Drosophila melanogaster: one gene and its partners. The protein of the gene in region 1 interacts with the protein of each later gene in a pairwise test. Each region holds a gene or a part of one and is shown on either strand. Other genes may lie near its edges.

Region 1 (6,362 bases):
CGCTGTAGCGGGCTGTCATCTTGGTTGTTTTGAATTAATGTTTCAGATTGACCGGTGCTTTCATTTGATGTAATTATAAAATACCAAAGCACCTTATTAAACAAATACTAAACATTTTAGATTTCATGAGAAAAAAGTTCATTTGCCTCCGAACCTTTCAAGATTTAAATTGGAGGGCATTGTTTCACGAAAAAATAATTGTTTACATTAAGGAGATTTACATATCAAGTTTAATAATATAAAAAGGCACTTTGTTTCCTTTTAATACAGGTAAATAAACTTAACAATAGTTGTAAACAAGACTTTTTGTTCAATATATATAACTATAACTTTGAATTTTCTATTCTAACTTTAAGCTTTACTGACATTAAAAATTCATCTTGACAGATTGTTCACAATTGTTGTCTACCAATTAGCTCTGATAGGTATTTTTGTATTTGACGAATGAAAGATCTGCGGTTATGGGAAATTAAAAGATTTTCCTCGAAATTTCTTTAATATTACACATTTTTTGACCATTTAAATGTTTATCCATAGAATACATGTCTAAATTGTTAAATCAAATTGGTTGGCAAAAAAATTTCTTATGACATAAGAGATCGATGTTAATTAATATGAAAATAAAATAATTTTCAGCGGTTAAGAATTAGATAATGATTATCAAAGACGAAATTATTCGTATGTATGTATTTGCACTTAGTTTTTTACCAAAGTAATTGCATTGAAGATATTCTCAATTTCTTATAAAATATTCAAATATTTTGTTTATCAAATTTTTATTTCCAGAGTATGGCTATTAGAAATTATGTTATAAAAGAGCTGTGATAAGATCATTTAAATGATAATAGGGCTTAGAACATTTCGTCAGATCGGGATGGGATGGTGTATAATTTTTAAGGTGTTTCTAATATGGTTTCTGGTTGCGGTTGCGGTGGACATATCCTGGGGTAGCTCCACCTCCGATGGGACGAGCATAAGCGCTTGCAGAAGAACGACGAGGAGCACCACCATGAGGACGAGATCCGGACACTGGAACTTCGCCCACTCGACGAGATCCTCCGATAGATCCAGAGATGGATCTCTGACCATAGTTAGGACGCTGAGCTTGCGAAACAACTGAGCGGCTCTGGGTAACACCAACGGCAGGAGCTCCAGATGAAACCACTCCAGAGTGATGGACCCGCACAAGATTCTCCTGCGCAACTGGCGAAATATTTGATCCTTGCGCCAGGACGATTGTGGCAATGAAGACAAAAATAATACGAAGAGCCATTTTGATATTCAGCTTTGTGAGTATTGCTTGTAAGACAACTGATGGTTTTAGCTGGAAATGGAAAACTTATATACATGCGAGACAACCCCAAAATTTAGAACAGCTAAGCATGTAATTAAATATTTAAAAACAATTAATATCTGACTCACCAATCTCAAACATCTAAGTAGTGCTGTCTTGGATGTCAAATAAATGATTTTGAACCTAAAAGCTTTGCTTTAATATATGTATGTATTTAATTGGAATATATTAGTTTCAAAAATACTTTTTTTAATGGTCGATATTTATGTATGAAATGCATTTGCTGAATTAATTAATTAGGTAGAATTTTTAATTCTTAAATTATATCTTTTTGGTAAATATTTTCTTACAAAAAACTAAGTTCTGCCCAAAATACCTTCAACAAAATTCAAAAATATATAAAAGATTAAATGAAATGTATCTTGACAGAAGTCGAAATAACAGAAGAGGGCAAGTAGTAGTAGTAAGGGTATACTGTGAAGTATATTTTAAATCAATTATTTGCTAAGATCTGTTAAATACAACGCCGATATAAAGACAATGCTATATATATTTGGAGATAACATCTTGTATTGAGTTGTTTAAGAATATACTCTAATATGTGAACAGTTCAGCTGTACAATTTTCTTAACTTACTTATAGGTTTATACTCAAGTGTTTTTTATTTACAAAATTGCACTGTGAAATATGATTTCTAGAATAAAACAAAACTATAAAATTTGTTTTCCATTTTTTTTTTTATTTATGTTAATATTATTTGTAGAAGTAAATATTAATTGGTTCCAAAATGTGTGTCAACCGGAAGAGATTCGAGCAGAGTATTTGCACGACGCTTAGCCATGATGGCGACCATGGTACACATTTCCTTGACTAGCTCCTACAACGGCTGGGACAGGGACTCCCTGAGGCTGGCGAATAGGAGCAACCACCAAAGCAGGAACCACCACGGCTGCAGGACGAGCGTAGGACACAGCCGGACGAGGTGCAGCCACAGAAGGACGAGGTACAGCCACAGCAGGACGAGCGTAGGACTCAGCAGGACGAGGTGCAGCCAGAGCAGGACGAGGTGCAGCCCAATAGGGTCGTGCACCAGCCAACCCTTGGTCTTGACCGTAAGCAGAACCAACGGACTGGGACACAGACTGTTGTCCTTGCGAAATGACTGCCGCTGGAGCACCAGAATGGATTGGCACCTCCGATTGCTGCTCAATGGGCAAAAGATTTGATCCTTGGGCCAGGACGAATATGGCGCTGAAGATTACAATGAAGCCGACTGCCATTTTGATTTGTTTATTTTTGTTAAGCAACTGATGCCTTGTGCTGCTTACTTTTGACTTTTATACCAGAGAAAAGTCAGAAAGTATGAATTTACAAGAGCTGTAATTCATCATTTTGAAGTAATTATAGTATGTGATGTCATGCAATCTGATCCAAATTCTAAGCTGACCCAGTTTATTGCACTTTGAACTCATCTCATCTTGATTATGCAAGCCAAATACTGGTTTTCCCCTTATTAATTAAAAATAAATTTATTGTAATATAATGTAATTATTTAAAGTAGACTAACCAAATTTTTAAAATGTATTATTATATTTGAAGTCCATTACTTGATAAATTCGAATATTTAATGTACCACAAAACAATACTAGATTAGTTTAAAACAGCAAATTTTCAATCATTTTGTAGTATATATTTTGTTGATCGTGCCAACATTTCCGTCCGTCCGTCCATTATGTATGCAGAATAGGATCTATATCTGAAGCCAGACTTCAACGACTGATGGGTATCTAATAGTCGAGAAAATCGACTAAGGCGTTTATTCTTAAATGGCAACGAGTAATGGGTATCTAATAGTCGAGAAAATCTACTAAGGCATTTAATATTGATTGTTTTGTAATGCATTTTAATTTGTTATCTATTTAATAAGTTACAGTTGTTTCGATTGGCATAAAATGGCCCTGATATTAATATGAGGAGGACCTGAGGGGAGGCTAGCCTTTTTTGTTTTATATATATGGTAAATGATACCATATCTTTAAATACCTTCTATCTTTAAAGATTTAAAAGATCTAGGCTTCCGAATATAGGTTTATGCATAAGATTATCATACATAGGACAACCAGATTTATGTAAATAGTACACACAACACCGACAACAACAAAATTATTTCATTTGACAATATTATATTTCAGAAAAAGAAAACAATACAACTTAGGATATTATATTAGATATTTATATCTATATTTATATAAATATTTATATTTATATTTAGTTATCTTGAGCTTAGAATTAGTGGGCCCTGTAAGCGCTGGGCAGACGATGGCATTCGTGATGACCGATGTGTCTCAAAACTGCAATTAAACAATAATATCATTTGTGAAAATGTTTTAGATATGTTTATAACCAACCTGGCTTAAGTTCATTGCGACGCAGGCAGTTCAAAACGGCCAGTGCGCAGGAGTTCTCCACCCTGTAGCAGAGATGACCATCGGTGGCATAAGCTGGACTATGAACCCTGGGGCAATGGATGGTGGCGTGGCAGTTGCGATGATGATGAACACCATGAGTTCCGTGATATGGTGCCTCCAGATGGTTGTGGTGGATTGGATGCTGATGGTGGGATCCATGAACTTCTTGAAATGGTGCCTCGAGTTGTTGGTTAGGATGTGAACCATGATAGTGGTGCTGAGGGGATCCGTGGATAGGATCATGCGATTCAGACAACTGATGATGATGGTGGGGCTCAGATAGGTGATGGTGCCCTTCTAGGTGATAATGGGGTCCGTGCTCGTGAGGATGCGATTGAAATTGATACAGATGTACTCGTTGATGTTGATGTTCTTTTCCTGCAGACAATGACTCGTTAGGAACGATTTGATGCACTGAAGCATCTTCGACAGGCAGATATCCTTTCTGGGGAACCTTCGCTTCTAAGATAATAATATCCGATCTGCGCAGAAAGGATCCTTGGGCAAGGACCATCCAAGCACTCAGCAAGAAAACGAAACGCAGAGCCATATTTTCTTCAACTGATGCTGATTCACAGGAACCTTTTCGGTTTTATACCCAGAGCACAATAGAAACCGAGTCCAATAATTTAAACTTAATAAGAAACCCATTTTAATTAGAAATTAATTAAAAGATAAGCACCGCAATAGCATCACTAGTGGGCAGCTAATTAAATAATATAAATACTCTCAAGCAGGGCATAAATCACAACCTTGTGGTATATGCAGGCTAGGAACGTTCAACTCGGGAGTTTCTTTACCTAGAGCTCTGAATTCTAAACCCTCAGGTCAACCCGAGTTGACTGAACCCATTCGCATGCTTACATCTTTACAAATGGTCTTAAATATAATGGTCTTTTAATATTTTTATTTTGATTTTGCCCTATAATTCTCAACTGATTCTAGTAAAGACTGTGTGACTGGACGTGTAGTTTAGAGTCACGGAATATTAAAAGTAAACTATTTTACAATGTGTGTATTTAACAGGTGTGATTACTTGGAAACGACTAATGTTAGGTATACAAGTGTTTTAACTGTTATGTACCTAAAACTTATTTTAAAATGTGTGACCCAAAATATAAATAATCTCATAAACTGGAATTGTGACCATATTTCTTCAGCTTTTTATTCACGTTTCATATTAAAATAAAATGTTAAGTTCCTGTTAAGAAAGGGATCACTGAAGAAGATATATATCTATTTAGATTTATTTGTTTACAAAGTGCTACTAAATCTATCTCGCGGACTTCACAAATAATATGTAAGTAATTAAGCTACTGTATTATTCTGTTGTAATTATATTAGTTAATTGAAGTTAGGTAATTGTAACTCTAAAACCCCAAAGCAAACGTCACGTGGTCAACAGAAGTGGATAATTTTAGTGAATTATATTGGACATGCATGGAGTTACGCTTTTCTATCTTTAATTAGTTTAAATAATATTTAATATAATATAATAAGATACGAAATATGTGCTATTCCATTAATAGGATGAATAATATTTATACTGAGCCATATATTATATAAATGTACATTTTTATATAACACAAACAAAATGAAATTTATACGGATTACATATTTATAATATTATGTTAAAGCGAATTTTAAAAATTATTATTATTAAACAATAGTTTTTTACCATATCTTTTAAACTGGGTGTGACTAAAACACTTTTATATTATTCAGCGCACTCGCTTGATTTCTACGTGACTTGTTGGCTGTTTGTTACGCAAACACGACTTCGATATTTGGTTTCATGCTTGAGGCCCCAAAGAGCCCTAATAGATAAAAACAACTAATAGATTTAGGTGTAAAAGTTCATTTACTTTCGTTCACGCTTAAAACATTCTGCGTGGCTTACAAAAAAGCTGTAAAATTGAATAAAGGGAAATAAGTCAACTGTAATATCTAAACATGTAGTTTAACTCACTCTGGCCAGTACGACAGGTGTGAGCCCGTTTTTCACATTCGTTACCAAAGTTTAGGACTTCGCCCTTGTAGATTCCAGTTGTGGGCTGGTAGATGGCTGTACAAATGTCGGCGCATTGCTTCTGACACTCCCTCTTTGTCGTTATGGTCAAGGCTTTTATATAATCAACATAATATTCGTTTGATTAATTCTTATTAAGTTGTAATAAGAAACTGCTCACCTGGCTTTCGATGGCAGTTCTCCTTGTCGAAATAACACTTATTCCGGAAAACATTGCAACCTCCTCCAAGAGCCCAAACAACTTCCTCCGTATCCGGACATTCGCCTGAACAGTTACCCCTAACTTGGCTCAAAGCCACACACAGCAAAAGGCAAATATATAGAGAGAAATTCATGTTTAAAGGCCTCGAAGTTTTGGAATGAACTGAACAGATCGTTTGCCACCTCCACTTATATATACATATGTTTTTGTTAGCTTGGAGGCACGTCTTCAGAAATCTTTATCGGTTTTAATTTATTCAAATAACAGAAACCGGCAGATGTGTGGGGTTTTTTTTGTTTGTTAATATCATACATAAATAACACTTCATAAAAACGCTTGTGGTGTCCCATTGTTTGCTTCTTTATCAAT
Region 2 (8,057 bases), 5.0 Mb from region 1:
GGCTCGTCCTCCGACAGGATAATCGCATTCTGTGCAACTCCGTGCCTTTGAACTCCACTGCCCTAGATGAGTTCGGCATTCATGAGTTCCAACTGGAGATGAATAAGGAGGGTAGAGAGGATCAGACCTCCAAGCTAGATCTGGATGTGTACTATGAGTAGGTGAAGCGAATAGCATTATTAAACCAATATTACACGTAACCTTTTATCAGCAAACACCGTCTGGCCGACTTTATCACTGTCCACATCTCTGGTGATGACACCCAGGATGGCCAGTCCAAAACCGTGGTCGTAGAGATCGAGAATGCAGCGATAGTCAAGCCATTCCTCTGCGGCTATAGGGATCAAAAAACGGGCAAAGAGTACTTGGACGCATTTACCCAAACTGGACCGTACTTTGACAAGATGAAGTACAGGAAGTACAAGACCAGGGATACCCAGACATGGGAGCAAAAGGAAAAGACTCTGGTATGTTCAAGCAACTTCGATTTATGTATATTGCGATCAATTATACCAAAATTCTTTTCAGAACACAGCCCATGAGCAATCGGTGCAATGCCATCTGGATGGTATTAATATACTATATGTTTCCGCCGCCAATGACTTTACCATAGTTCCTGGCAAGTACCAGACTTTTGCCCAGAAGGAGCGAGCAGAGCGGAAGCTCGAAAAGATTTTGCTCATCCAGCGAAACTGGAGGCGCTGGATTTTGTGGAAATATATTCACCTGCGGGCGCAAGAGTATCGGTAGGTGGACTATATTCAATTTAAATTATGAAACTTAAATATCTTATCTTATAAACCCCTACCAGTCGCCTGGTGCAGAATCGCGAGCACGAGGATGAGCGGTATGAGAAGTGCGTGGAACAGCGCATGGAGCGACACCGGGTGATCAAGCAATTCCCACGCAACAAGGATGACTTCGATCTGCTATATGCTGAGGTGGCTCGTTGGAAAAAGGCGGAGCTAAAGCGTATTACCGCCAACTATGAGGGGCCTGCTCGCATTGCCGAGGTGAACATCCTGCTGGACAAGGAGATTCAGCTGCTTAATGGCGTGGAGCGGCAGCGTAATCTCGTCTACAAGGCCATGGAGGATTTTCGCAAAGATCAGCTGCTAAAGGAGATGGGCAAACCGATCGAGTGGGTTGGCTACAAGGACTCCAAAATCCACATGGATCTGTTGAGCACACAGCGAGTTCGCTTCCTCACCGAGATCTACAAAGATCTGCGAAAGCCGCGCAGCAAGGAGGACCGCTTAGACTTCATCCGACAAGTCATGGCAGTGCTCACCGAGGAGACTTGCTTCCCACATTTTCCCGAACTCTTTGATCTCTTTGATCGCGAAAAGAATCTTTTGCTCTATGCCAAGTCCTTTGACGTGGAAATCTTGCGCAAACGCCAGACAATGCTCTTTTTCGATCTCATAAAGTTCCAAAAGGGCGAGCCCAAACAAAGTAAGTGTTGAACATACGTATATATCTATTTATTGTATTAATCTTTGGGAATTGTGATTTTTAGGGATTCCATCGCGCATGTGCATTGTATGCAAAAAGGTCAAGACCTATGCCGAGTTTGCCATTCGGACACGTCAGAGCCATGTGGACACCTGCAAGCACTGTTACTATCTAAAGGTGGGTTATTCCTTATTCCACATTTTAAATATTATAATCGAAAATATTTTCATACATACACATAGCTAACTGCTACTGAGAACACCGTGTACCAGTCCATTCTACGGTGCATCCATCGAGATGAGCGGAAACGCAAGTGCACCACATCCTTTGCATTTGTAATGCAGCCAGATGATGTTCGCCACATCATAGACAAAATATGGCATGGACATTCGGCTCTAAGCAAGACAGAGAATCTCAGTGAACTAAGGTAACCCCTTCACAATGAAGTGTTTAAAAATCAAACGTCAAATATATCTATTTCAGATTACCGCGTTGGAACAAGAGCGATGACTGGGCACCGTGGAACTGTATTTGCCTGACGGAACGGGAGACGCGAGATCACTACAAGATCGATGACATTGAGAAGGTGTATGATCCCAAGTTCGTTCTGCACATCGGTAATCTTCACATGCTGGCTCGCAGCCTATTCCACACCTTAGCTGCTGTGGCCACCGAGTTCCAGGAAACGGGCCAATGGTGGAAAGTGGGCATGAACAAGCAACGTTCCAGTAAACTGGATGCCGTCTAAACTATGTGGTTAAAATGACTCCCAGTAACTCACCTTTCGAAATTTGGGTTTAGCTTGTAATTCAGCGCCTAATTTAACATTTACAAAATTTTAACAATTCAAATATTGATCAATCATTACAAGAAAAATTAAATAAACTATAACTGCAATTATTTGCTACTTGCAATCGCCTTGAACTTTGACTCCAAATACTGAACGCGTTTCAGTAGTTTGTCACTGGTGCTGAACTCATTATAGGGCACGGGAATAACGTGGTAACCACTCTTCTCTAGCAGATCAAATGTCAGATTCGTAACGCCGCTGCCACTGCGATGCGTTCCGTGGCAAATGTCATGGAAATCGATGACCATCAGCGCCACCCTGAAATCAAGTTTCATTCATTATAATCAAGTTAATTTATAAAACGTGTAATAACTTGCCTTATTGCATTCGGATTTTCCTTGTCCAAAGGCAGGGGGTTTTTGTTAGCATCAAAATGGCACAGTGCATCTGAAACGACAGTTAATCAGGAATATGGTACACATTAACAAGGAATATCTTACCTATAAGGAAGCCCATTTTAGTGTCTACAGCAGTTTGTAAATGATTGCTGGCCGGCAGCAGACTTTTCAGGGCATCTAGCATTCCATTTACAAGCACTTGCTTTGCTTTAGGATGAGCCATGGGCACCTGATAGACAGGACTGTCAGTGGGCAATAGTGGACCCTTGTAATCTGTGGCTATTAACTGGGCATAGCTATTCAAGTTGAGTAGCCTCATTTTGGAGGTAGCTGTGACACCAGCTTTGTCCTTTTTCAACGTCTCTAGGAAGTCCGCACTGAAAGTAATTACAAATTTAAGTTTTAATTCCAGATTTTCAAGCGTTTCAAAGAACAAACCTCAAAACAGAAGCCAAGTGGCCGTGTTCTACTAGACCCAACATTGTTAGCGACCACACAAAGCTCAACCACTCGGATTGCTTGGTAAAATCCTCGCGGACAATAGACTTTACTAGCTTTTTGCTCACTTCCTCCAATTGAGCGCTTTTGAAGTTTAGCAGGGCCGATGTTAGGAAATAGGCACTGAGATCTTGGGGGCGACAGATTTCACTATTCTTTAAAAGCCACTGCGTAAGTGATTCCAAGATATCTACCGAAAAAAATAAATTACATTAATCACAACTTTTTCTGATGTGTTTATATCCGAGCTAACCCAAATCCCGGTATCGTAAAATGCCCAGGCTGGTGATAATGGATCCCACAACGGCAGACTTCTCCACATTCTTAGGCAGCGCCGATTGCACATCCGCACACACTTTAGCGCCTAGAACAGAATCCTGGAAATTCAACGTGGACATAGCGAACAGCACATCCCCCGCTTGCTTTAAATCCAGCGATTCCGACGCGCTGCTGATATTAAAGGCCAGGGAGCGCAAGAGAGGAGTACTACGCCTCTTCCGCTGGGCCAGGGTGCTCATCACCTTGACCATCTGGGGCAGACTGATGCTAGCTATCAGCTTAGCGGCCTCATCGTCACCAGCTACGCCAAGCACCGTGTTTAGGTCATCTGTTCGGAAGCCGGAAATCCGCTTGGCCGTCCCATTGTCACCAAGGTCCTTGTTGTTAGCATTATTATTTTTGGGAACCGTCCGGCCCAACATCCGGCAAATACGTAGGAACCTTGTGTCGTTCTCGAATTCCGAGATCTTTACTCGATTCAAGGTGCTCCACTCGGCCAGTATGGAGACAATTCTGAGGGCATGCTTCCTCGAGAAGCCATTGTTGTTCTCCGTGATAGTTAGCAGTCCATTGACTGTCTTTGCGTTGATGATACGCTCATCGATCTTGCTGGAGGCTTGGCTTTTGCTCTCATCTTTGGGATCGTCGTTTCTAAGGGATTCGAAAGCAGCGGCTACCATGTGGCCTGCAATAAGGATGGAGTGAATACCAATTAGTAAGGAGGACAACAATTTTAGAATCTACCTACCCCTGGGCTTTTTGGCCGCCTCCTCCACAGCCGGCGCGCGTGCTTCCGGCTCCACTGCATCCGATTGTGCTCCAGTGGGCGCCACGGGAATGCCCGCTGCCCGGACACTGCTGCTGAAGGCTGCACGGCGGTACAACTGGGTGACAAAACTGCCGGCAAAACGTTGTAGTCCCAACATTTTCAGTCAATCCACACGCTGCAAGAGACCACAGAAGTTTACATAACCTTTTTGTTTACATTTTTAGCGGCCAGGAAGGGGCTTTACAAAGCATGCCAATGATATAGGCTTATATTCATGACTTGAACCGTCTTATTTCCCCTGATATCCTTCACGTTTCATTTAGTATTTTCATTTATTTTAGTAAACTTTCCTATTGAACGTTGAGAATCCACAGATGACAGCAGCGTTCAGCTGATGGTAGTGTAGGGTAAGACCCGTCGGCTCCATGCAAAGCTTTTGTAACACTGCGAGCTGTGCTGCCAACTCAGCATTTTCTAGCTAGATCTGGCGTTTTTTATTCCGGAACTTAGGTGTCATTGCATGTGCTTTCGGTTATTTGGTAAATGCTTCCAATTTTATTACTATGCCGATTTCTCTTTGTGCTTTATTAATAAGAAAACTAATGTTTTATTGAACTATTTCGGTTATTGGTAAATGGTTCCCATTTTATAACTATGCCGATTTCTCTTTGTGCTTTATTAATAAGAAAACTAATATTTTATTGAACTATTTGGAGCACAAATTTAAAAAGCTAATTTTCATTAATAACGGCTACAGCTATTTATCGGATTTAGCTACACTTGAACAGTGAGAGTTGGAAACACTGTTTGCAACACTGGACACGACAGCTCACCAAATATTAGCTGCTGTGATTTTGTTTTACAATTTTCGTTTAAATTTTTACATTTTTGTTTGCGGAAAGCGCGGGTGCGAGACAGGTGCGCCGTTTCCATGCAAAAGTGCAAATCGTCAGCTGCAAAACAGTCAGAAAACGGCACGCCAAGCGAAAACGAGTTCGACGTCTTGTTGTAGTTGGATTTTCCAGCCACTTTTCGACGAGATTGTGTGAAAAATTCCGTAGCATTCAATAGTCTCAAAATGGTGGATAAATTCATCAGCATGTGGAAAGTGCGCGAATTGGCGGACAAGGTGTAAGTGATCAGGAATATATAGGATATATCCATACGTATATGTAATGGGATGTGTGTATAACATTCCCTTAACGCCGAAGTGAATGTTAAGACTCCCACGCCCCAAGTTTTCTGATTTCCCGCCACGCCCCCAACTCCTCAAGGATTTCAAAAGCCCTATGTCATGCATAAATCCCTAATAATTCATAAAGATATCTTACTTATGGATCAACTGCATCGGGGTGCTGGATTAGGTTCACGTTTTTAACTGCTTTCAAGGTTGTTCGCCATTTCAAGAGAGCTTTACCAACACAGCCACATTCCGATATTGATATCCATGTGTATATGCGCCTGTGTGTGTGGGGCTTTATCAAGAAACAATTTGTTTGCTTTCGACTGCCCAAATATAACAATTTTTTCACCTGTGTTAACAGCTCCACTTCCAGGCTTTCCAGTGAAATGGGTGTTTCTCTTTCCCCCATCGAATTATTAATTATGGGTGTCCCCTTTCACCTGCGCCTTTTATGGGGTAGTTATTTCTAAAAGCGAGCCTATAGTTCGAATAAATAATGGTGGCTCGATAGCCAACACCGAACTCATTAGGTTAAGTGCGCGGGTACACCTTTCCTAGGGCTTATCTCGAACTGATAAGGAACACCTAGATGGCCCATTTGCGACAATTGGCCCACTTCCATCACGTTTCGAACGTCTATCAACGTCGCAGCCAAGCCATGCGTATTACTTATTTATCTGCATCTTTGCATTGTATATCCATATCGTCACACAACGTTTACTTAAAAATACCAGTTCTGATTAACTGGCCCTCTATCTATTTGATTATCTATTCAATTGAGTTTACGGAATGTCCCAGTCAATATGCCTTTTTTCTTTACTTAAGTATATATCAATTATTTAAGGAAACAAGCTCGGATTAAGATTTGTATTTACATATGTACAAAAGTTCTACGACTAACATCGTGAATAGTTAATAGTTACTTTAAAATAAAACAATGACTTCGTTCCCACTTGCAGCACCAATGTCGTGATGAATTACACGGAAACGGAGGGCAAGGTGCGGGAGGCCACCAACGATGATCCTTGGGGGCCTACAGGACCCCTCATGCAGGAATTGGCCTATTCCACCTTCTCATACGAAACATTCCCGGAGGTGATGTCCATGCTGTGGAAGCGCATGCTGCAGGACAATAAAACCAACTGGCGACGCACGTACAAGGTAACGTTTTCAGTTTAAACTAATAAATATAGAGCTAACGAGTATATATTTACTTACAGAGCCTCCTTCTGCTAAACTATTTGGTGCGAAACGGCTCTGAACGGGTGGTAACCTCCTCTCGGGAGCACATCTACGATCTGCGCTCGCTGGAGAACTATACATTCACCGACGAGGGCGGCAAGGATCAGGGTATTAATGTTAGGCATAAGGTACGAGAGCTTATAGACTTTATTCAGGATGATGATCGTTTGCGCGAGGAGCGCAAAAAGGCGAAGAAGAACAAGGACAAGTACATCGGCATGAGCAGCGACGCCATGGGCATGCGAAGCGGTGGCTACAGCGGCTATAGCGGTGGATCTGGAGGAGGCGGCGGTGGCAGCGGTGGCTACAATGATGGCGACTATCGCTCTAGTCGTGGAGACAATTGGTGTAAGTAAGAAATTTTTATTTTTTTAAGATTTTTGTTCAAATTCTCTATATGTAATATTAATATTGATGATTTTTCTTCAGACTCCGACAAAAGCGCCGACAAGGATCGGTATGAGGATGATGATACTCACTACGATGGAGAGCGAGAGGGATCCGATAGCGACTCACCCAGTCCAAGGCAAGTTTTCACTTTTCCGATTAACCTGCTCTATATCCTAATGTACTCTTTTCTCCTCACAGACGTAACTATCGATACAATGACCGTGCGAGTCCTGCCGAAGTAGCCAGCGAGGCCAAACCTTCCAGCCTCAACATGAACATTCGTTCGAAGACCGTCAGTTCCCCTGTCTCCAAGCAGCCCACTTCAACGGCTTCTGCCAAGCCAGCGCTGTCCCAGAAGAAGATCGATCTGGGTGCGGCAGCAAACTTTGGAAAGCCAGCTCCTGGCGGTGCTGCTGGCATTCACTCACCAACTCACCGTGACACTCCCACCAGCGTGGACTTGATGGGCGGCGCTTCGCCATCGCCGTCTACTTCCAAGGCAAACAATAATACGCAAAGCAATAACAACGATCTGCTGGACGATCTGTTCAAGACCTGCTCGCCACCGCCGGGGCAGGAGAAGACGCTGAACAGTGCTGCCGTGATTGTGGATGACGATGATGACTTCAATCCGCGTGCCAGCGATGCTAGCCAGCAGGAATTCGGCGACTTCGCCTCTGCTTTCGGGCAGCCCTCGGCGGGATCGACGATCAGCGAGCCACCATCAACGGGCCTGGTTCCGGCTGCGAACGATGAGTTCGCCGACTTTGCGGCGTTCCAAGGCTCGACAACGTCGACATCTGCGCTGGACGGTAATTTGCTGAAGACTGCCACGCCGGCGAACGATTCGTTTGACCTGTTTAATTCAGCTCCCACCTCGACGGCAGCAGCCACAACGGCTACAGATCTCCTGGCAGGCCTGGGCGATCTGTCCATTCACCAAAGCATGCCCATGGGTGAGTTGTAGTTTGATTCTTGTAGCTTAACATATTATTAAATTTGAAATAGTTTTAAGATTAGAGTAATTGCATTGGCCTTAGTCACTTCATGATA
Region 3 (7,201 bases), on another chromosome or scaffold:
TTAACCCAGTTTACAATATATCGAGCCCTGAAAGTGGGGCTGTGATGATTATGAGATATATATACAATTATATGACAGTGGAAACAGAAGCAGCATAACGGCAGACCCAACTAACGAGATAATGAAAAGGGATTAAACAAACAAGTTATTATATTTAATGTTAGTTGAACTACTAAAAGTAATGATTGAAAGCACGGATCGAAGGAATGGAGATAGGAGTTCCCGCGTGGGAGTGCGAGTAGTTTTTAGTTGGGCGCGTCGCCCAATCATTATGATTACAATTACAATTACGATTATGATATATGGAATACTAAACCTATAACAACAAGTTATTACCCCACTATTAAAGTTAACAAGCAACAACAACAACAACCCATACATATACATATATACGACTAGGCACAACTCTAAAATTAATTATAACCCTTAACTGTGCTTGTGTTGAAAACAACAAACATTAAGAACAAGTTTAAGCCGTAACGAAATAAAAGAAAGTGAAACAATTAACGAGAAATCCCCAAGCGCCACAAGCAACAACATATCTGCTTTAAATTTTACAAAAAAGGAAGAGAAATCTAAAAAAAAGTATATTAAACACGAGTCAAAGTTTAATAATTTAGTAAGAAAACAATACACAGACAAACTGACAGACACACGACCCACACATTATGCTTCCTTTTAAATGCAACATTTTATACATTTAATTATCGAGAATTAAATGCTTAAAATACAATTTTAATTTAATTTAACAAACTGTAACTGTACACGAATAAACGGAAAATGTAAAACTGTTTGTTTAACCATTTAAAGACAGAACTTGGTTTTATTTAACCTAATTTTATTGATTCACGATCATCGCAGCAAAGTGCACATTTTGAATACACTTAGAATGCAGGGAACAATTGAAAATTGAAAATGAAATTATCATTGATATGCATGTATTTTGCTTTCACACTGAAAATAATTGTTTTCGAAGTCGCAAACACACACTATCACACGTCTATAATTATGTAGTTGAGTATCCGTGTTAGTTTTTGGGTGTTTTTGGATTTTTGGTGATGTGTATAGAGCGCAGTATATAGAATGCATATAGAGATATATATTATTGTACGATTATTGACTAATATATAACGGATATGTATGTGTAGTACGTGAAAGGCAAGTTTATGGAGACAATTCACTTGTGTTGCAATATTAATGAACAAACGAAATAATTTACTTGTAAGTTGCGTAGTGCAAGCCGTGAGAATAGAGGTAACTTTCTCCACAACCCACACTCACTGATCGACAGACACATACCCATTAACCTTAATGATTAAACGCTGGGACAGCGGCAAAAATGTTTCCTAGGAGAAAAATTAACAGAAGCTGAAGAAAACGCTTGGAATGCCCCAATTAACGTAAACATTAAAAGCAACAAACAGTAACAATACTAAATAGAAACAATAATGTACTATAAATCAGATACAATACAACACTATATATACCTAAAATATATATGCCTATACGACAGAAATTGGACAACAAATGAAATATATATATATATAGTATATATTGTACAAGTTACGAGTAAAATGTAATTAAAATTTATGAAGTAGTAAGCACTAAACAAAACAAATAAATGAGCAGCAAAAACGCGCAGCATAAGCATAAAACCGGATTTTACAAGAAACTGAGTAACCCTGAGTAGAATTATATTTTTTGGTTAAGGATATTATTATGATTTCGTATCTCTGGGATACCCCGAAAACTATCGCTTCGTTTTCCCATCTCCAAAAGGATAAGTCGTTTAGGTAGCGCGAATTCCGCCCGATCTGCCTGGAAACCCACCCCTAAATGACCTTCGCACTAGGTAGCATCGGACTACTGACCGTGGCAACTGCGTGAATTCATTAGTATTCCAAGTACCACGATCGAGAACAGACCGCAGATGACGTCCGCAAGCGATACAGGTAAGGAATTGGCTAAAAACGAAAAAAAAAAAAACAATACAACTGAGCCTATTAAGACGATCGTCCTTCAACTTTTTAGAACCCACTGCAGTAACGCTGCTCCAGCTGAATGACGATGTCCTGGCTTTGATCATCCGCCAGCTGGACACGTACCAGCAGTTCCAGATTAGCAGGTTGAACAGGCGCTTGGCGGGCGTAGTGCACATGCTCTGGGAGACCCGTGTTCGCAACGTTGTCCTGCAGGACGAGATGTTCGGACGCTCGGGAGCCAATTCCCGACAGTTTGTGGCTTTCATCTTGGCCCTGGCTCCGCACATGCAGCACCTGAGTTGCAAGCAGTTGGATGTCCGAAGACTGCGACTGCTCAGTAACCACACGCTGGAGAGGATTCACTCTTTCGAGTGGCTGGGCAATGTGTATAGACGGAGACGCGTTCGCTTCGTGGATGAGGATGTGCGAATGCTGCAGAGGGTATTTCCCAATCTAAAAAGCCTCAAACTTAGAGGCTGCCAAATTACCGGAAAATACCTATGCGACCTGGATGAGCTTACCGATCTCCGCCTGCATGATTGCCATTTTCTGGAATCGCAACACTTTAGGGACATCTTCCGGCAGCTGCGACTACGCAAATTTGACATAATGGAGGACTGTGACGAGGTGAACTGCTGTGATCTGGCGGATCTGCAGCTGTGTCCCACACTGGAGCATATCAAGATTGCGGATTACCACGTGTGTATGGAGTCGGATATTACGCAGCAACTACTGACATTGCCAAACCTGCGAAAGCTGTCGATCTATTCCAGGAACTTTGTCTTTGATGTCCTATCGAGGATAGTTAGTCCCACAAGTCCTCCCGGCGATGGCCGACAAATTGAGGCCTTTAGTTTCAGTGGAGTTTTGCACGACTATGGCCGGTTCTTCAGGGAGCTGGGAAATCTTAGTCACTTGACGCGACTGGAGCTGCACAGCCAGCCAGAGGAAGAGGAGGAGAAGGAGGAGGGCGTCCAGGTGCAGTGCCTGGGGGATCAGATACTGCGGCAGCTAGCCAGTCAACTGGGTGAGCTAACCGAACTCCATTTGTGTGGCTATCAGTTGGAGAGTCCTTTGGGCCTGCTGGAATTCGTGATCAATTGTCGACAGCTGAGAGTCCTCGACATCACTCGAACCTTCTGCCATGGAGAATCCTTCGTCTGGAGGTGTATTGCCATTTTGGCCAAGCAAAGCTGGCGCATTCGCCCTCTAGAGCTGTGGATCCGGCATAGCGATATCAATCCGGAAATAGTTCAAAGTTCGCGCTGCGTTGATAACATAAGGCTGATAAAGGTGGATGCAAAACAGATTGGACCCAATACGGACTACACATCTGGCGTACTCAAGTTTAGCTTTGTGCGGTAAACCGCTGCCCCATGAGTGGGATATGCTCCAACTGATCAAGCTCCAAAATGAAAAGGTTTTAAACTGAAATATAGTTAAGTGTATACATTTATCAACTGCTTACCAAATAAAAAGATGTAAATATACATATTTGTAAAGCGATTTTTCAATGCATCATTGTTTTTACTGCCCTTAGGGATAAAAAAAATTAAATTCAAGTTGTAGTACACTTTAAAATTCAAACACCCAAGTCCTTGCAATCAGCGTCAATCCAAATGAAATTCGAGTTCAGAGCTAAAACCTCGTCGACAAGCCAAACTTTGGATCGATGCCCACGAGGATGACCAAATGCGCCAGCCCTTCCGCCGAGCCTCCGTCTACCTCCACCTGCTGTTAATAACCGAGGCCGTGATCGGACTGCTGATCCTGGTGGTGACCGCCTACTACCACACCGTGCTCACCGGCTATCTATCGGATATTGAGTGCCGCCTGGTCTACGGCTATCTGTTTGGGATCTACGTGTTTGGCGCCCAGGTGGTGGTGACCTTTCTCTGCAGCATTGCCATGTGGCGGCGAATTTGGCGGCGTCGCTGCACGCCGAACATTCGCCTCTTGCTATCCGTGTGGGCCTTCTACTCCTGCGTAATCATTGCCTCCGGTTTCGGGTGCGTTTGGAATCTTTACCGGGGTGTCGATGTCCTCGAGAATGCGGCGGACACCTCGCTGACCCGCGGCATCGACATGTACTACTCGTGTCCCGAGTGGAAACTCCTGTGGGACGGACTGCAGTGGCACAAGGAGTGCTGCGGGGTGCATGGCTACAAGGACTGGATGAACGCGGAGTGGATGCCACGGCGGGAGAATAACTGCACGTCGATGGTCCTGGCACCCTTCGCCTGCTGCAAGCGCTCCTGCGACAGCTGCTTTAACAATTTCCTGCCCAGTGAGGGGCAGTCCATCGGTGGCAATAGCCGGCAGCCTTTTCCCGCTCTCACCGTGGACTCAATCAATGCGAACGGATGCTTGCCTGCGTTCGTTAGTGCGGTGTGGAACTGCTTTTACATCCTGATGGCGTTATGGGTCCTGGCCCTTAAGTTTCTGGTAAGTAATTGGTAATGGGCAACGTTTTAAAGTCAGAACAATGGTGAATATTGGAGCCATATTCATTAAATTCTGTCAAATTCATTAGCGTAAGTCATATTGAAATCAAAAAATTTGAATATGCAACAAAATTGTATTTTAAGATAAGACCTCCCTAAGTCAATCATCTTTTTAGATCGTGCTTTGTTGTATGACCAAGTTCATAGTTCACCGGCAGAACGAGGGCGATGGCTGCGATAATGTGGGACTCACGGACGATGATGGACATCCCTTGGTCGTGGTGGTGGGTTTATCCATTTACTATCCATCGATAGCACCTAAATCAGTCCATTCCCCAGAAATATCCGTGTAACGTGCGCTGTGTAACAATTGCCGAGGATGATCTGGTATCCGACAACGTTCCCGATATTAACTACTGCAATTGCACCGAAATGGACGACGAACCGTGTGGATACTAATATTGTGCTTAATTTTACTTTTATATTTTATATTAATTTAATTAAATTTACGAATTTGAGTTAACTTCATATCCAATCGGTGAACGCAATATATTATTTATTGGATATTATAGGATACTTATTACATGGATGTTGTAACATTGGATGTTAAATGGATTAACGGCGCATCCTCTTGGATTTCTTCAAAGTCTGACCCACCAGTTGAGCAATATGTTTGCGCAATGCCAAGAAAGGCTTCAAGCAGACGCGCTGCTCGACGAGACCCACAGCAATGCGGTGAAAGAACTCGGTGACATCCACGGGCTTGGCCAGCAGCTGACCTTGTGATACCGAGCCGTTTTCCTCTGAGGCCTCGGGCGTAGGGCTACGTGCCATTCTACGGATGAATGGTTCCAAGTTGCCCCTGCTACGTTGGGAAACGCGAGCTCCAATGGACTCTGATAGCGCATTATTGGCGCGAGAGAAGGTGAGACGCTCCTGAGATCCCGAGTCGTTTTGATCCGGAGTCTCTGGCTTCTGTATCACCAGTTCGGGTGAGGTGGGGTTTTTCTTTGGAATTTTCGGAAACTCGGTAATTTCGGTAATCTCCAAAGCACTGTGGGGACGTCTTCTGTAGAGAATCCGAACCCGTTATTCCACGTTCTACATTACGAAACTATAACTTACGGTGTACCCGCCTCATAAGTGACATATGGGGACCAGTCTGCCCCATCCAAATCCATACTAAAAGGTTCACAAAATGAAGAAAAATGATTTTGTTTTATAACATTAAATTTACTCACTCATCTTCGTTGGAACAGTCATCATCTTGATCACTTTCCCTGATTATAAGGCAACTTAAAAATAATCTATCAAAACATTATATTAAAAAGACTTACACAGAAGACTCGCAGGTAATCTCGTCACTTTCGGGAGCACTAGAAAGGAAATACATATATTGTCAGTGTTTTTCTGAAGCTAAATTAATGAAGTCTTACGTAGCTTCTTGATATTCATCATCATCGCCCACAATATGAGGAACCTTTGATTGGGACCTGCAATGAATAATCCATCAATATATTTAATGAACTGCTTTAATTTTAATTACATTTTTAACAAATTTTCAACGCCTAGCTCCTGGAAAATGACAATGTGAAAAGCCGTGCGGCCAGTGTGTCCACTCCAAGGAATGTTTAATAAGAACATCAGTGTTGATCAAAATACTGTTGAAAACTTACTGGAGCATATGTAATTAATATATAAAATTCAGTTAAAGCTCAAGTCACGTGTTCTTAACATTTAGTAAAAATAGAAATTTATACTAAAGGTTTTGGTAAATTTGAGCCTTAAAATTTTGGTTAAGTTTAGCCTTAAAATGGCAGTTAAACATAAAAAGTTTAAATTCCTATAAAAAGACGTACCAGTGTTGTACAACAGGCTTAATTTACAAACTTCCAAATACAAATGTAATTATACATATTTATGTAAAGTCAAGCCATCACAATTTAATTCCACCTTTGGAAATGTTTTTATATATTGGGTGTTCGTTTTTATTGAACTTGACATGCTTATGACTAAATAGTTAAGGAAACTGGAATTGGAATAAATACAGCTCGACCAAAAACACAAGCCACAATTATGCAATAAATTCAATCCTTTAATGTGACATATAGTTAACTTATTCGAGTACTCTTTCTTAGACATATGTGGGCTATAAACATTGTAAAATCTCTACTGCATTCGATTGGGAAACATAAACCACAAGACATGGGCGGAAATAGCCTATTCCTGGCTGATTTCATTGGCATCTGAGAAATCCGAGACGGCGACGCTGCTGGTGCTGATTAAATGTCGATCGGGCATTTCGCCGATGGAAGGAAGAGTGGTGCTATCGCTGGCGCTGGACAAAGATATCTCCTCCCAGCTGACGCCGGAGTCGCATTCGTTGCCCGGGGAAACGGGTGTGGCGTCGGCATTGTGCGGCTCATCCTCCGGTGCCTGGCCAATGCTGATAGCCGGCGTTGCTCTGGAACGTTTGCCAACTAGTTCGACGTTTTGATTGCGATCCGCAGCAATGCGCTTGCGATCGGGAATTTGATTGCCCGTGGTGGGACTCCAGTCCATGGCACGGTGCACCAAAGCCCGAAAAGTTATACGGATCGGCTCGCTCGGTGGACTGTCCATGTCTGAGGGATTTCTTCTGGACACTTGCGGCGACATGATCATCGTGGAGTTGTGCAAAGCACTGGGATGCGAAGTCAAAAAATCAGACTCGCTCTCCTGTCGACATTAATGAGAAGCTAATTACTATTTATTGTTTATTGTTAACTGAATACT

The links. Proteins that work in one complex are often made in the same cells at the same time.
Region 2: the proteins of CG33333 (region 1) and CG13850 interact in a two-hybrid assay, tested with the Drosophila melanogaster proteins (one large-scale study listed by BioGRID).
Region 3: the proteins of CG33333 (region 1) and Tsp33B interact in a two-hybrid assay, tested with the Drosophila melanogaster proteins (one large-scale study listed by BioGRID).

The regions. Positions count from the first base shown.
Region 1 is NT_033777.3:17,413,696-17,420,057, reverse strand, and holds CG33333 (uncharacterized protein), read right to left. Parts: upstream 2,592-6,362; 5' UTR 2,575-2,591; coding exon 2,128-2,574; 3' UTR 2,016-2,127; downstream 1-2,015. Other genes in the region: CG42834 (uncharacterized protein), read right to left, coding at 905-1,273; CG5866 (uncharacterized protein), read right to left, coding at 3,584-3,645, 3,703-4,312; CG42822 (uncharacterized protein), read right to left, coding at 5,659-5,669, 5,732-5,884, 5,952-6,126.
Region 2 is NT_033777.3:22,406,318-22,414,374, forward strand, and holds CG13850 (uncharacterized protein), read right to left. Parts: upstream 4,599-8,057; 5' UTR 4,540-4,598; intron 4,493-4,539; exon of another isoform or gene 4,434-4,492; intron 4,365-4,433; 5' UTR 4,347-4,364; coding exon 4,169-4,346; intron 4,106-4,168; coding exon 3,395-4,105; intron 3,332-3,394; coding exon 3,082-3,331; intron 3,021-3,081; coding exon 2,746-3,020; intron 2,693-2,745; coding exon 2,623-2,692; intron 2,564-2,622; coding exon 2,353-2,563; 3' UTR 2,249-2,352; downstream 1-2,248. Other genes in the region: CG13855 (uncharacterized protein), read left to right, coding at 1-157, 212-467, 529-746, 812-1,455, 1,520-1,632, 1,698-1,882, 1,939-2,203; lqfR (liquid facets-Related), read left to right, coding at 5,268-5,320, 6,332-6,533, 6,593-6,962, 7,044-7,140, 7,203-7,960.
Region 3 is NT_033779.5:11,788,777-11,795,977, reverse strand, and holds Tsp33B (tetraspanin 33B), read left to right. Parts: upstream 1-3,612; 5' UTR 3,613-3,674; coding exon 3,675-4,427; intron 4,428-4,602; coding exon 4,603-4,710; intron 4,711-4,765; coding exon 4,766-4,885; 3' UTR 4,886-4,953; downstream 4,954-7,201. Other genes in the region: CG14937 (uncharacterized protein), read left to right, coding at 1,931-1,952, 2,032-3,347; CG14932 (uncharacterized protein), read right to left, coding at 5,042-5,495, 5,552-5,608, 5,668-5,706, 5,764-5,802, 5,863-5,919, 5,973-5,974; CG14931 (uncharacterized protein), read right to left, coding at 6,647-7,144, 7,201-7,201.